Linked DNA regions of Macaca fascicularis. The protein of the gene in region 2 interacts with the protein of the main gene of each other region in a pairwise test. Links are inferred from orthologs where the notes say so. Each region holds a gene or a part of one and is shown on either strand. Other genes may lie near its edges. The genes, in order: SHFL, MEOX2 and MAPKBP1.

Region 1 (3,769 bases), on a different chromosome or scaffold from region 2:
CCTGGCTAACACGGTGAAACCCCGTCTCTACTAAAAATACAAAAAATTATCTGGGCATGGTGGCGGGCACCTGTGGTCCCAGCTACTCGGGAGGCTGAGACAGGAGAATGGCGTGAACCCGGGAGGCAGAGCTTGCAGTGAGCCAAGATCACGCCACTGCACTCCAGCCTGGGCGACAGAGCGAGACTCTGTCTCAAAAAAAAAAAAAAAAAAAGAAAGGCCGGGCGCGGTGGCTCACGCCTGTAATCCCAGCACTTTGGGAGGCCGAGGCGGGCGGATCACAAGGTCAGGAGATCGAGACCACGGTGAAACCCCGTCTCTACTAAAAATACAAAAAATTAGCCGGGCGCGGTTGTGGGCGCCTGTAGTCCCAGCTACTCGGGAGGCTGAGGCAGGAGAATGGCGTGAACCCGGGAGGCGGAGCTTGCAGTGAGCCGAGATCGCGCCACTGCACTCCAGCCTGGGCGACAGAGCGAGACTCTGTCTCAAAAAAAAAAAAAAAAAAAAAAAAAAAAAAAAAAAAAAAGAAAGAAAGAACCCCAGGCTTGGCATTTCCTCTGGTTAGAGACAAGGGACCCAGATTCTTACTCAGGTAAGGAAATGGCTATTGGGGCTCGAATTCTAGTGAGGAAATGGGAGAGGCAGGCCTCTTATGCTGGTGAGGAAATGGGAGAGGCAGGATTCTGGTAGAAAAGTGGGAGAGGCAGGACTCTTATTCTGGTGAGGGGACCTGTGAGAATCTCGACTCTTGCTCCAGTAAGGGATTGGTCAGCCCAGGCTGTGCCTCCCACATATCCCTGTGCCCACAGGCCCATGGCAGGATTGTGCAGAGGCCCGCCAGGCAGGCCATGAACAGAGTGGAGTGTATGAACTGCGAGTGGGCCGGCATGTGGTGTCAGCATGGTGTGAACAGCAGCTGGAGGGTGGAGGCTGGACTGTGATCCAGCGGAGGCAAGATGGTTCAGTCAACTTCTTCACTACCTGGCAGCACTATAAGGTGGGCACAGGTGGGCAGAGACAGGGAAGGGGAGGGAGCCTGTTCTGGCTTCCTGACTTTCCTGCCCTGCCAGGCGGGCTTTGGGCGGCCAGACGGAGAATACTGGCTGGGCCTTGAACCCGTGTATCAGCTGACCAGCCGTGGGGACCATGAGCTGCTGGTTCTCCTGGAAGACTGGGGAGGCCGTGGAGCACGTGCCCACTATGATGGCTTCTCCCTGGAACCTGAGAGCGACCACTACCGCCTGCGGCTTGGCCAGTACCATGGTGATGCTGGAGACTCTCTTTCCTGGCACAATGACAAGCCCTTCAGCACCGTGGATAGGGACCGAGACTCTTATTCTGGTAAGGAGAACTCTTATTCTGGTGGGAGGATAGGGGAGGTGGGACTCCTGTTCTGGTGAGGGAATGAAAGGAGGTAGGGTAGGTAAGACGCCCCTCTGGTAAGTAGTAGGATAAGCAAGCTTTTATTCTGTCAAGAGAACAAAGGTCAGGACTTTTATCCTGGTGGGGGTATGGGGAGTCCAGATTCCTTCTCTGATGAGGCAAAAAAAGAATCAAGACTCCTGTTCAAGTGAAGGGCAGAGGGTGAGAGCTAGTACTCTTATCTAGAAAGGAAGTAGGTAATTTTCTTTTCTTTGATAAAGGAATGAGTGGTAGACTCCTAGTTTGCAGAAAAAGTGGGAAAGGTGTGACTCGTACTTTGGTAAGGAGATAGGGAAGGAATTAAGGCTATTACTCCGAAGAAAGTTGGGGGGCCAGGGCTCCTATTTTTTTGCTGAGGAGATGGAAGATCAGGGCTTGTATTAAATAAGAATGGGAGGGGCCAGGGGATACCTGGCAAAAGCCTTGCACTGTGAGGTGCAGGTAGAGACTTTTATTCTGGTGAGAGGACATGGACTCTCTCTCTCCCCTCAGGTAACTGTGCCCTGTACCAGCGGGGAGGCTGGTGGTACCATGCCTGTGCCCACTCCAACCTCAACGGTATGTGGCACCGCGGCGGCCACTACCGAAGCCGCTACCAGGATGGTGTCTACTGGGCTGAGTTTCGTGGTGGAGCATACTCTCTCAGGAAGGCCGCCATGCTCATTCGGCCCCTGAAGCTGTGACTCTCTGTTCCTCTGTCCCCTAGGCCCCAGGGGACATTGGTCAGCAGGAACTCAAGTTGTCCTGGCCACACCTTTGTGGCTCAGTGCCAGTGTGTCCCACAGAACCTCCCACTGTGGATCTGTGACCCTGGGTGCTGAAAATGGGCCCCAGGAATCCCCCCCTGTCAATATCTTGGCCCCAGATGGCTCCCCAAGGTCATTCATATCTCGGTTTGAGCTCATATCTTATAATAACACAAAGTAGCCACAGACCGTGTCTGGTTTGTATCTGCACCTGGCAGGGGTCACTCCCTGGGCCCGCCCTCCTCGTCCTCCACCTCTTCCTCTTCCTCCTCCTCCTCCTTCAGGTCCTCCAGGATGAGGTTGTCCAGGTCTTCCAGGAGGCCGCCCTGGCTCAAGCAGGTGGCCACAGTGGAGCCACTGCTAATGTGAGGGTTGCTGGGGTGGAGCACTTTGGGCAGGTGGTTCTGCTTCCGGCTCTTGGGGTGAGCACAGGATGTCCCAGGCACGTGGGGCTCTAGGGAGGGAGAGGTGCTGCAGACATGGGACTCCAGGTCCCATGAGAGTTTGGGCAGGAGGGGGCTGAGGCCACGAGGGGCTCTAGGGAGGGGCTGAGGCCACGAGGGGCTCTAGGGAAGAGCTGAGGCCACAATATACGGGGACCAGCACAACTGGACATTCAGGGGTGTTGAAGATACAGGAGACCTGGGGACATGGGGGGTCACCTGAGATTACAGGGGACAAAACAGGGGCCCCAAACCCAGAGACCATGGGGGCAGAGGCCATGGAGACCCTCAGGCATGGGCCACTGGGGTGAAACCTCAGAGCCTCGTGGGCAAGACCACGGAGACTGGGGGGCCATGGAGGCCACGTAGAAGCAGTGGCTGCTGCTGTGGGAGACGAAGTGGACTGAGTGGAGATTTGGGGACTTAAAGGCACAGAAGGGGACAAAGACTGCCCAGGATGTTGGAGGAGAAAAGCCTCACCTCGCCGGTTGTAGCAGTCGGCGGCCGAGCAGGAGTGAGTGTGGGTGCTGCGGCGATCCGGGTCCCGGTCCCAGCGCGGGGGGAGGATCCGTGTTGGATACACGGGGAAGCCGCACCCGTAGCAGGGGGACGGGGACCCCATCTGTGCCCAGCCCCTGGGGGCGGGCAGGGCTGTGAGGGTCCGAGGGCGAGGCTGGGCCAGGGTGGGGCCAGGGCAGGGAGGGGCAGGGCTGGGGTGGGGCAGGGCTGAGGGGGAGCTGGGGGTCAGCGCCCTCACCGGAAGTTGTGCCGACACTTCGGGCAGTGGAACTCAGCCAGGCCCCACATCTTGTCAGCTGGCACTGGCTCGTAGCGCTTCCGGCATTTCCGGCACCGGGATACCTGGTGGTGGTGGGGGGGGGCGTGCAGAGAGGGGACCAAGGATTGTCAGAGGTGTCTGAGGTTGGGGTCAGGGCTAGAAGTGTGCTGCAGTGGCTGGCCTCAGCTTGAGCAACCCAACTCAATCAGTGACTTCACATGGGTAGCCTCATATTGACCATGGTGGGAATACTTACACCACAGAAATTGGCAAACACTACACATCTTGGCTTCCTGCCTCTTTTGCAAGAACTAGTTAAGCATTGACCAGAAGCGAACTACTGGTCAGGACATTCAGAGGCCAGATTTGGGGCTGTGTTT
Region 2 (5,164 bases):
TATTTTCTGGTGCTTAAAATTCTATTAGAATTTAACATGGTAATTAGCGCAAACACATACAATCTAGGTATTAGATGCAGGGATACAGAATTTTGGTTCTGACTTTACCCTGGATTTATGTACTAAATCTTCTCTCAACCATAAATGAAAAGTAATTATAAACTACCTACCAAAATACAGATGGTCTCACTATATAGGATGAGATTTTTATCTAACACAATTTTAAATTTCAGGAGTTCTGAAAGCACTTCAATTTTGTTTTTTACAAATAGTGAAATACTAAAATGTGCTATAAACAATGAGAGATATACGTATTAATAGCATACCAGGATCATAATCATTTTCAATGTTGCTTTAGTTTGTGCTGGATCAAGATGTCTATGAAATAAAATATCTTTGAAGATAACTTATGGAAAACCTAATGCAATTGTTACACGAGAAAGATATCTTTAATTTAAATCTATCTGAATATCTGACAAATATACCTCAAGCTGAAATTGGAAAATAAAATTTTATTTTCAATAAGTGTACATAGATTTAAACAGAAATTATTGGGATACTTCCTTTTAGTCAATATTTCTTCAAAATATCAAAGGAAAGAAAAGCTCGTCCTAAGTCCCCAGTATTTTTATCCTTGGTGATGACTAATTGTACTTTCCACTCAAGTTTTAATCTGTTAATAATTTATGCAGCTGACACAAACACTTATATTGGCTTGTTTTTCCAGTACCCTCATTATCAGCTTCAACATGTAGAAATGAACTTAATTTTGTTAAATGGTTATTTCCCACTAAGTTAGGAGGAGAGATAAACACGTTTTGTTAAATTATTCCACTTTAAAAAAATTATTAAAATAAATTAAGGGAATCAGTTACTGAATTCCACTTTCTTGGTTTCCCCCAAACAAAATAACATGTGCTTGTATGAAAATTCAGTTTGCCCTAAGAAACTTAAGAGCAATGGCTCAGTTCAGGAAGCATAAAGGACAATCTGTCATGTAGGTTACTCATTGCAAAAAATAAAATGAACAGTAAGAGCTTACGGGAATTGCAAGAGTACTCTCATCAACCTGAACTGGGATCTGCTTCCAAAGTGACACTGATATCAAATGTTCGGTTTATGAAATTGTCACTGCATTCTAAAATTGACTGTTTTTCTAATACAAATTGAAACCTTCTTGCTATGATTAACCATTCAACTCACTATCTAAAGAGACTTTCACTTATAGTTAGGAAAGTACATTAAATATCAGTGACACTACTGGTAATTTTCTTATAAAAACTAATTTGTGACAGAACATTAAAAGTTCACCCCCTGACCTTGGAAAATAAAAGTTAGCTTTTGAGACCATGACAGAAGAATCCATCCCATAGGATTGCTGAATAACAATTGATATTGCTGTGAAGGGTGAAGGAATATTAAATATGCGGTCAATCATTTTCATTTAGGTGGCATCTTACCTAAAGCTTTATACACGATAAACATTTGTCCAATACTTCAAACCAACATATGGGATTACCTTCTAGGACTATTATTAACCCAATTCCGCAGAGGAAGAAAAATATGCAAATGTTATATTAAACAAATGATATCTTCCAAAAATATGCAATCCAGGTTGCACTATAGCCACGAAAGAAAACTCACAAGTCTCTTAATTTTAAAGTATCTTTTAACAATTTTATGATAATACAGGTAGGTAAGAGCTTTGAAAAGTGGTCTGGAAAACTTTGAGTTTCTCTGGATTGCTACAGAAAAGTTACTCGGCAAGTGTGTCTTCAAGTACCAGAGGTCAGAAAGGTTTCCCTTTTCCGTGGCTGCTCAAATTATCCCCCACTAAAATCAGCGCCTCCTGCGCGCACCCTTACATACCACCTTCAGGCACGTAGCTAACTAACACTACCCGAGCTACTGTTGCTTCGCTGTATTTGTCTCTACTAATACCCACTTGGTAGAGGGATTTGTTTTCCACTTTTGAAACGTTGATTCTGTAATTAGCTTACACCACATGAACATGTACTATTAAGGTTCGTCTTTCTTCCAATGTGAGCATCTATTTATTTACAATTCTCTGACACATTCCTTAAAATCTGAATTCCTAGATAATGTCTTTTTCCCCAATAAAGGGAAAATTTTACCATTTGAAATAGGGTGCTATTTAAAGAACGCTGAAATAAGAATGTTAGAAAAAAAAAAAAAAAAACTAAAACTTTTTTTTTTCTCATGCGCTCTGCCAAGTTCCACTGCAAGTTCCAAATATTGTGCAATGATTTGGAAATCCAGTTAACGATGGGAAAAATCGAGCCACTCACAGTCGGGAACTTGCAAGAGAAAAGTCAAGAAGCGGCACCCGCACGCACGCCTGCCCAACCGACGCTGCATCTCTGGGCGCACGCCCCTCCCTCCCCAGCGCTGGGATGGAAGGTCACGCTTCGCAATCGATTTCACAGCCACTTGTCCTTTTTTATCAACCTTCTGGTAAACTAGTTTAGGACCTTGGAGAGCTTAGAGCTGCTGGCTGTATATGCATTGCTCTCGGATAAACACGTGTCCCCCAAATATCAGGACCAAAGCTTCACCGCCGAATTTGGCCGCGGGAAGCCACAAAGGGCAACACATTCCCATATTCCCCGCTGCCACCCTGTAGTGCGAGAATCTCCCCTGGCATCTCTCCGCCCCCTTTCCAGGCCGGCGCGCACTCTCGAGGGTGCCTGGTGCGCCCTTACCTGAGCTGTCGCTTTTCCTCTTGCCACCGCTTCGCTTCTCCGCCTCCGCAGGTGACAGTGCCTGGCGGCCGTAGTCCCCCGGCGCGCACGCGGCCCCAGTCGGGGTGCTGGAGCCCAAGCTGGAAGAGTTGGAACACAGGACCGGAGGGCTGCTCCCCAACTCTGGGGGCCCTCCGGAGTCGGGCTGGAGGCAGAGGCTGTGTCGAGCCGCACTCGGTGGGGAAGACATCTGCGGGAGGTGCCAGTTGGTTTGCAGAGCCTGGTGCTGCTGCTGCTGATGATGGTGATGGTGGTGGTGGTGGTGGTGGTGGTGCCCCCTGTGATGCTGGCTGGCAAACATGCCTTCTTCGTTGGGGTATCCCGCGATTATGCAAGATGAGGAAGAAGTAGAGAGCTCGGGGTAAGACATATGGTCAGATCTTCCATGGAGGGCGAGAGAAGATTGGGAGAACGGGTGCAAGCCTTGCGCCGTGGCGTGAGGGCTGCGCAGGCAGCCAAAGAGCGGGTGTTCCATAGCATGCAAGTTTCAGGTTCCAGGCAGAAGACTTCAGGACGGTTCCAAAGGTCACCACCCTCTGTCACTTTTCACTGGAAACCGTATGATTTTTTTTTACCCTCCCAAAGCAATAGCCGTGCACTTCTGCAGAGCTCGGATAATCCCGGTTCTGAGCCCCAGCGACCAGTCTCCTTTGCATATGAACAGTCGGACCTGGAAGAGCTTCCCTGAACTACTCAGATGTCAAGAGTGGGAGAGGTTGAAGCCAAAAGAAGGTGGTCCCAGAGAACTGCTTTCAGGGGGAAATGGCTCTGAGAGGTTATAAATAGAGTGTAACGTGAGCTGGGGGCCGGCTTAGGAGCCCAGAGTTGACCACATGCAAACTCCCTCCAAAACTCCCGCTCAGTTTGCGCCACGCGCTCCCCAGTTCCACTTCCTATCGCCTGCTGGACAGACGCAGAGCGTCCACGCCCGCCCAGCACTGCCGGCTGCCAGGGCTACAAGCGGCACGCCAGTGCCTAAGTCCCGCCCGGGAGGGCAGCAGCTCTGCCCTCCAGACTCTGGAGGCCTGGGCGCGGCGCACACCACCCCCAACCCAGCACCCTGATTCCTACCTACTCACTTTCCTCTCCGGGAATCGTGATTTGTCAGTGTCATTTGTGAACTGTCACCTGCAGAAAAGCTAGGGATATGCCTAGCCTTTCAGGAACCCAAAAGAAGTAATAGGGTTAAACGAAAAGATCAGAGCTAGTTAGGCGCATCCTCGAAGTTTTTCAAACTTCGCATCTTCCAGTGCCCTGGGCGCCGCAGCGCGCCTAGGTTTTCACAGCTGGTTTCTGTGGGTGGATTGTTAATGGGCTGGGACGCCAGATCTGAGGTTGTGGGGATGAGTACCATGGCCTGGAAAAGGCAGTTCTCAGTGCGGAACCAAGAGGGACCCGGTAGGGTGGGTGGGAGGAAGGCGTGAGTCTGAAAGGGTTGCAGATGCCTGTTCCCTGGCATCCTCTTGTGCGATGCCAGGTGGAGTCTCCCTTCCCCCTCTTTCCTGGTCCCGCTCAATTTCCTAGCCACTTGTCCACCAAGAAGAAATTTTCCTGGGTCAAAAATATTTCCAGGCGATTTTGTCCCGGTCACATGAGATGTGTAGATTGCACGCACATATCTAGCCTTTCCCCTCAGGAGCTAGCCTAGGTCTCCGCAGTTTCCTACAGAAATCCACTCTCTTCCCCTCAAAAATAAATCCGCTAATCGCATCCCTTATCACCACCGTCCCATTTACTGAGAAATCTTACATTTCGATAGCTCCCAAAATTCACTAAGCTTGGGCACTTGGCTATAACTTTGCATCCGTGAAAATAAATTAGAAAATTTGCCTCCAGTAAGCATGCAAGAACGATGGCAGGGCTTTGAGACTGCCACTTGTTTGGCGGGTGACAGGGTCCGCTGGGGGCAGAGTCGTTTACACACAAGTGAGTGGCTCTGTAATGAGCAGGAGAAACAGTCAAGTCCCATCTGGGACCTGTCGCATCAGGAGAATATCTGTAGTCACCTATTCCGCCCGGGGCCCCAAATGCACCACCAGCAGTGTCGCCCCGTTATTTTCATTGTCTCAGGTGTCCAGAGGATGATGAGCAGGTCTTTGAAGTTGTTAGTGGGATTAATGGGTACAGCAAACTGGGCTAGACATCTGGTTTGAATTAGGAAAAAGTATTGATTAATCTTTGAGAGGTGTCCCCAAAGCAGAACCTTCCCCCTCCTCTTCCAGTCCCCCTGCTTAAGCCTCACTATCTTCTTTTCTTGTAAGTCATGCTGTAGAATAGTGGCTTCTCAAAAACATCCGTGTGAAAGATCGAATTGTTTTCTATTGCTTAGAGGTGGGGTGGAGTGGGGGTTGATCAGGAATTCTGAGATTTGTAAGCGCTGCTTTCTTTAACGGAAATTGAGC
Region 3 (5,064 bases), on a different chromosome or scaffold from region 2:
TGCCATTCCGGGCATTCTCCTGACCTGTGTCTGGCTTAGAATACTCCAGGCACAGAATCTCAGAGTCATGGGCCTCCACCTTCAGCATTTCACTCAGGGACTGAAGTTCGTGCACCCTGCAAAGATGAGGAGAGGTGGGAAGAGGCGATGGCCAGGTCGCAGGAAGAAGGACTCACGCCCACTTCTACATTTTCTCCTCCTACCTTTTTCCTTTTTGTGAACTTTTAGGCTTAGAGAAAAGTTGCTGAAAGAACAGAGCGCTTCCATATTTCCCTTACCCAGCTTTCCCTAATGTTAACATCTTACATAACAATAGTCTAATTATCAAAACTAGGAAATTTATGTTGGTATAATACTATTAATTAGAAAACTTATTCAAATTTCCCCAGTTTTCCTGCTATGTCCTTTTTCTTGACTCCAGATCCTATCCAGAGTCCAAATTGCATTTAGTTACTTCTCCTTAGATTTCTGTGGTCTGCAACAGTTCTCCAGTCTTTCTTTACTTTTCATGATCTTGATGCTTTTGAAGAGTAATGATCAGTTACTCTGTGGTATGTACCTCAATTTGAGTTTGTTGGATGTTTTCTCACGCCTACATTGAGTTTATGCATTTTTGGTAAGAATACCACAACAATGTTGAAACATTGTCACATTCTTCCTAGTACATCCTATTACGGGCATCATGATGTTGACATGAGGATGTTGATATGAGGATGTTAGTGTATGACCACTTGGGGAAGATGATTTCTGCTAGGTTTACTCATTGTAAAGTTACTACCTTTCCCTTGTAAATAAGTATCTTGTTGCCCAACCTTTTTGAGCCCAACCCTCCGTAAAGTTCTAAACACCTGACTCTGCACCACGAGTGGCAGTCAGTACCCACCCAGGGCCTGGCATTACCTAAGTGTGCCCATACGGTCCCCTGATGCTAGATGCTGTCCATTGGGGCTGACACACACCGAGCGGATGCCCACGCGGGGATCCATCAGGGACGCATCTGCTTTGTCTCCTCCAGGCAGCTCTGTGTCCAGCAGGGCCTGGGTGTTCCCATCCACATAGATGATTTTAATGAGGTCCTAGTGGAACAGGTTAGAAGAGGTAGATGAGGCAGGCCTGACCAGTACAGCTGTAAGGGGCAAGACAGCTGGGCAAAACAAACCCTTGGACCACAGAGCACAGCCAAATGAAGGCTGGAAAGCCAAGGCCTAGGGACCCGTTCCCAATAACAACGTGCAAAAGCTGTGAGGAGGGGGGCACTGAGGGTGAAGCAGGGCCCCACAGCCTCAGGGCTCACACTGCTGAGGATGTTTCGGTGGAGGGTGGAGCCATGCACCCCGGAGCTCTCTGTATTCCATAGGCGGATGGTGTTGTCTGAGGAGCAGGTAATGAAGGAACTAGGGGGCAGGCAGGCCTGGTTACTGTCCTTCACCTCGGGGTAGACCTGAAGGGGCCGAGGGAACACAATCAGACCTCCATTTGGGAGCAGTCCTCTGCCTACCCAAGGAGATGAAAGGGAATGGGACGAAAGAGGGAATGGTGGCCAGGACTTAGTCCAGTGCCTGTCACAGGCCATACATAGCTAGTATAGACTCTTCATTATGACCAAGGGGAAGCACCCACTATAAATCAGGCACTCTTCTATGCCTCCCACTTACATTATTTCATTGTATTCTTAGAACAATTAGGTGAAGCAAGTACACCATTTTACAGTTGAGGAAACTGAGGCTTGGTCAAATTCAATAACTTGTTCAAGATCACCGAGGCAAAACTAAAGATGGGGCACACTGGGGAAGCCTGTAACATTCAAATTCAGTCCCCGGGATCTATCCCAGGGAATTCACTGGAGAAACAGGGAGGCAGCAGGAATCTAAGATTATACTTGGGGATCCCTACTTTCTGTCCTCAAAATGGTATCCCAGCCAACCTGGCCAGTCTCCAGCCAGCCAGCCAGCCCACATACCTCCACACTCCAGACGCAGGAAGAATGATACAGAGCCGAGTACACCTTGCCCACTTTCTTGGGGTCCCTCACATCCCAAACATAAATGCTATGATCGTTGTACACACAAGACAGCCACTGATTAGTAGGATCAAAGGTCAAGGCAATGGTGTCTGGATACCTGGCATTGGCCACTCCAGAGAAGAGGCGACTGTAGGGAGAGGACAGGGCACACTAGTGAGACTGAAGGGACTGAAAAGAGAAGCCAATCCACAATGGAAGGAGCAGTGCGTGAGGAGCCCTTCCCGGACCTGCAGGTTTGGAAGTAGTTGCTTGAGAGAAGAAAGGAGCCCCTACTAGCCATTAGCAGGAACCTGACCCGGCACTAGCTGCTGGGCCATGGTGTTCGGATGAACAGTTTCACAGAACACCAACGTTAGACAGGTAATTCTATGGCTGTGATGGGGCAAAACAAAACCAAGACTACTCTGTGCACAGATAAAAACAAGATCACCACACAAACCACGACAATGACCGAACACCGCCTTTCCCATCTACATGACTGCTGGCGGCTTCTTGACCAAATACAGCTTTAGCCCCATACCTTTCCTTCACCTCTTAGATAAATTAACAAGATGTGCCACTGTAGAATTGCCCCTAGTTCCTGACAGCATCCAACCAGAATACTTCAATCCCTTGAACTACTCCTAAAATCACCCAACGCAAGCCCAAATCCCATATGCCCCTTCTAACACCCACTTACTGAGACTCTCCACAGTTCTCCACAGGGTGGGGTCTCCTTGGTTGCAACAAGTACCAATAAACCCAAATTCTTCTGTCTAAAGAGGTGTTCCCAGTAATCTCTGGGGCATCAGTACACTCTTCGCCTGCTCCCTGAGGCACTGACAAGAAAGACTGGGCAGGGGTAAGGCTACGAATGGAGGAAGGGGGGCCCACATAGCTCACCTGGCCTCAGTGATGCTGGCAATGTCTGTCCCCAGAGCATGGGGTCGGGGCAAGGTGCTAAGGAAGTGCAGGTTAGAGGGGTTGAAAAGGCGCACGGTGCCATCAGCACAGCCACAGAAGATGTAGTCTTGGCTCACAGAGATGCAGTGGGCCACTGTGGTCTGTGGGCAGAGTGGCTCAGCTCAGCAAGGCCACCTGCCCACTCAGTCTTCTCTCCTCCCCGCCCATCAACAGCCACCTGCCAAGAGGAAGGACCGGCCAAGGCAGGGGCAAGGGAAAAGCTGCCCAGCTGCTCTATTCTGAGCCCTCAGCCCTGTCCAGCCAGGGGATAGGAATCGAGGATTCTTCTAGGCACCAGAGGATCCAGTAAGAAAAGCCCAGTGAAGAGAAAGAAACAGCATGAGAAAGAAAGGAGGGTGCAGGCACCACTTACTGTGAAGCTGTCTGTGTTCTGAGCAGAAGAGGAAAGCAGGGGAAAGAGAGACAGAAAGAGCAGAGAGGAGGCAGTTACACAGATCACCAAGGGCTGGAACTGGGCCAAGCTCTAGCTCCCCCAAGCTTCATTCTCCTGGGATCTCCCGTATGCATGAGGGCCCAGCCCCTAGTCTGAAGCCCTGGGCACTAGTTCTCCCCTAAGCTGAGACATGGGTAGACCCTACCCCTGGGGACGGAGGTACTTACCCTCAGCTCCACCCACTTGTCCAAAAGCCTTCGATCACTGAACTCGCACAGCAGCCCCGAGGACGTGATGCAGAAGGTGCTGTCCGCCTTCTTCCCTCTGCCACAGGCCACATCAGTGAATAGGTTGTTCCGCAGCTCTCCCAGCAGCCCTGAGCGGCCCAGCAGGGGCACAGTGGCATTCACCTGTGGAGGTACACCACTGTTACCCCCCTATCCACCCCAGAGCCTGCCCCTGGAAACCAGGCCCTAGGAGAGGACAGGGGATGCCTCCAGCACCCCCTTGCTCTTTGGGCCTACTCCTCAGCCCAGACAGCATCTGGCTCATCCAAAACTTCTGCATGACTGCTGGGAATGCAGAGAGAGGCCCAAGTCGGCCAGAGTCTCCTGGGGTGGGCTGGGCAGGCCCTGGCTGGGGACTTGGTGGCTACTCGCAGCTTTAGCACCTCACCTTTGAGGTCTTGCTGTCATCGAGATACCAGAATTTGATGTGCCGGTTGCCTGCAGTGACAAAGTAGCTGCAATCCTCAGAGAAGGACACTGCTGTCACCCGACTGGACACCTTGTTGGAGGCCACCACAATGTTTTTCTAGAGGGGATGCCAAAGGAAGAATCAAGGCCCTGTCTCTTGGAGCTAAGAAGACAGTGACTCAGAGAATGGAGGAGAATTCGAATTTGTACTTGAAAAAGCGTTTCTTTCCAGAATTTACTGGCCAGAAAAAGAGGGGTGGGGAAATAATCCCTTTCTAGAGGAGCTGAAAAGATTCATTTCCTGCAGAAGTCCTTGAAGGCATAAAGTTAGCTCCTTCCACCAACATGCTTGGCCACATGGTTGCTCTTTTCTGCTTCAAATAACTTTCCAGAATGAGAATGGTTCAGTGGGGTGGAGTGGAGCCATGCAGGCCAGCAGTCTCTTGCCTCCTCAGCTGACACTTGACCCCTGTGAGGCTGCCAGGCCATCCCACCCAGCCACTCACCTTCCAGGCCCACACGTTGACGATCATGTCATGCTGGTAGCCCACAGAGACGATGTACTTGGCGCTAGGAGAGAAAGCCACACAAGCCACACCATACTTGTGCTCCTGCAGCTCGGCCACCTGGCTGCGCTCTGCCACGTCCCAAACCCGCACGGCGGGCATGTGCCCACTCTGCAAGGAGGCAAGAACTGGAAGTGAGTTCTTGAGTTCTCCACAGGCATACAGCCCCCGTTTGTTTTCCAGAGTGGGGCCCTCGCCTCCTCAGTCACTGGATACCATCATTCTCCCGGCCAAAAGTCAGGGCAGGGTACAGAGGAAATATGGTAAAGATCTGAGAGCAACAGTGATTATCAGGGAGAAAGTGGCCCTGGAGTTTAGTCAGCATCTCTGGGTGCCCGTCTGTACTTCTAGTTATTCAAGGCTCCCTGAATGGTTCTGATGGGCAGCCAGCATTGAGAGCCACTACCACTCAGGTCTATTTGCTGCCGGGACAAAGGCGTTCCT

The links.
Region 1: the proteins of MEOX2 (region 2) and SHFL interact in binary tests that used the Homo sapiens proteins (3 or more experiments, as listed by UniProt). The two-hybrid records come from large-scale screens. The link is inferred for Macaca fascicularis from reciprocal best matches to the Homo sapiens genes MEOX2 and SHFL.
Region 3: the proteins of MEOX2 (region 2) and MAPKBP1 interact in binary tests that used the Homo sapiens proteins (3 or more experiments, as listed by UniProt). The two-hybrid records come from large-scale screens. The link is inferred for Macaca fascicularis from reciprocal best matches to the Homo sapiens genes MEOX2 and MAPKBP1.

What each region holds. Positions count from the first base shown.
Region 1 is NC_088393.1:10,637,535-10,641,303, reverse strand, and holds the end of SHFL (shiftless antiviral inhibitor of ribosomal frameshifting protein), read right to left. Parts: intron 3,473-3,769; coding exon 3,369-3,472; intron 3,247-3,368; coding exon 3,092-3,246; intron 2,623-3,091; coding exon 2,390-2,622; 3' UTR 2,106-2,389; coding exon of another isoform or gene 1,915-2,105; 3' UTR 1,445-1,914; downstream 1-1,444. Other genes in the region: ANGPTL6 (angiopoietin-related protein 6), read left to right, coding at 810-997, 1,071-1,341, 1,915-2,105.
Region 2 is NC_088377.1:114,505,825-114,510,988, reverse strand, and holds the start of MEOX2 (homeobox protein MOX-2), read right to left. Parts: upstream 3,517-5,164; 5' UTR 3,238-3,516; coding exon 2,724-3,237; exon of another isoform or gene 2,677-2,723; intron 1-2,676. UniProt on the Homo sapiens protein: Mesodermal transcription factor that plays a key role in somitogenesis and somitogenesis and limb muscle differentiation. Required during limb development for normal appendicular muscle formation and for the normal regulation of myogenic genes.
Region 3 is NC_088381.1:18,402,706-18,407,769, reverse strand, and holds part of MAPKBP1 (mitogen-activated protein kinase-binding protein 1), read right to left. Parts: intron 4,732-5,064; coding exon 4,561-4,731; intron 4,173-4,560; coding exon 4,035-4,172; intron 3,770-4,034; coding exon 3,587-3,769; intron 3,357-3,586; coding exon 3,339-3,356; intron 3,067-3,338; coding exon 2,906-3,066; intron 2,151-2,905; coding exon 1,961-2,150; intron 1,442-1,960; coding exon 1,295-1,441; intron 1,077-1,294; coding exon 901-1,076; intron 117-900; coding exon 25-116; intron 1-24. UniProt on the Homo sapiens protein: Negative regulator of NOD2 function. It down-regulates NOD2-induced processes such as activation of NF-kappa-B signaling, IL8 secretion and antibacterial response. Involved in JNK signaling pathway.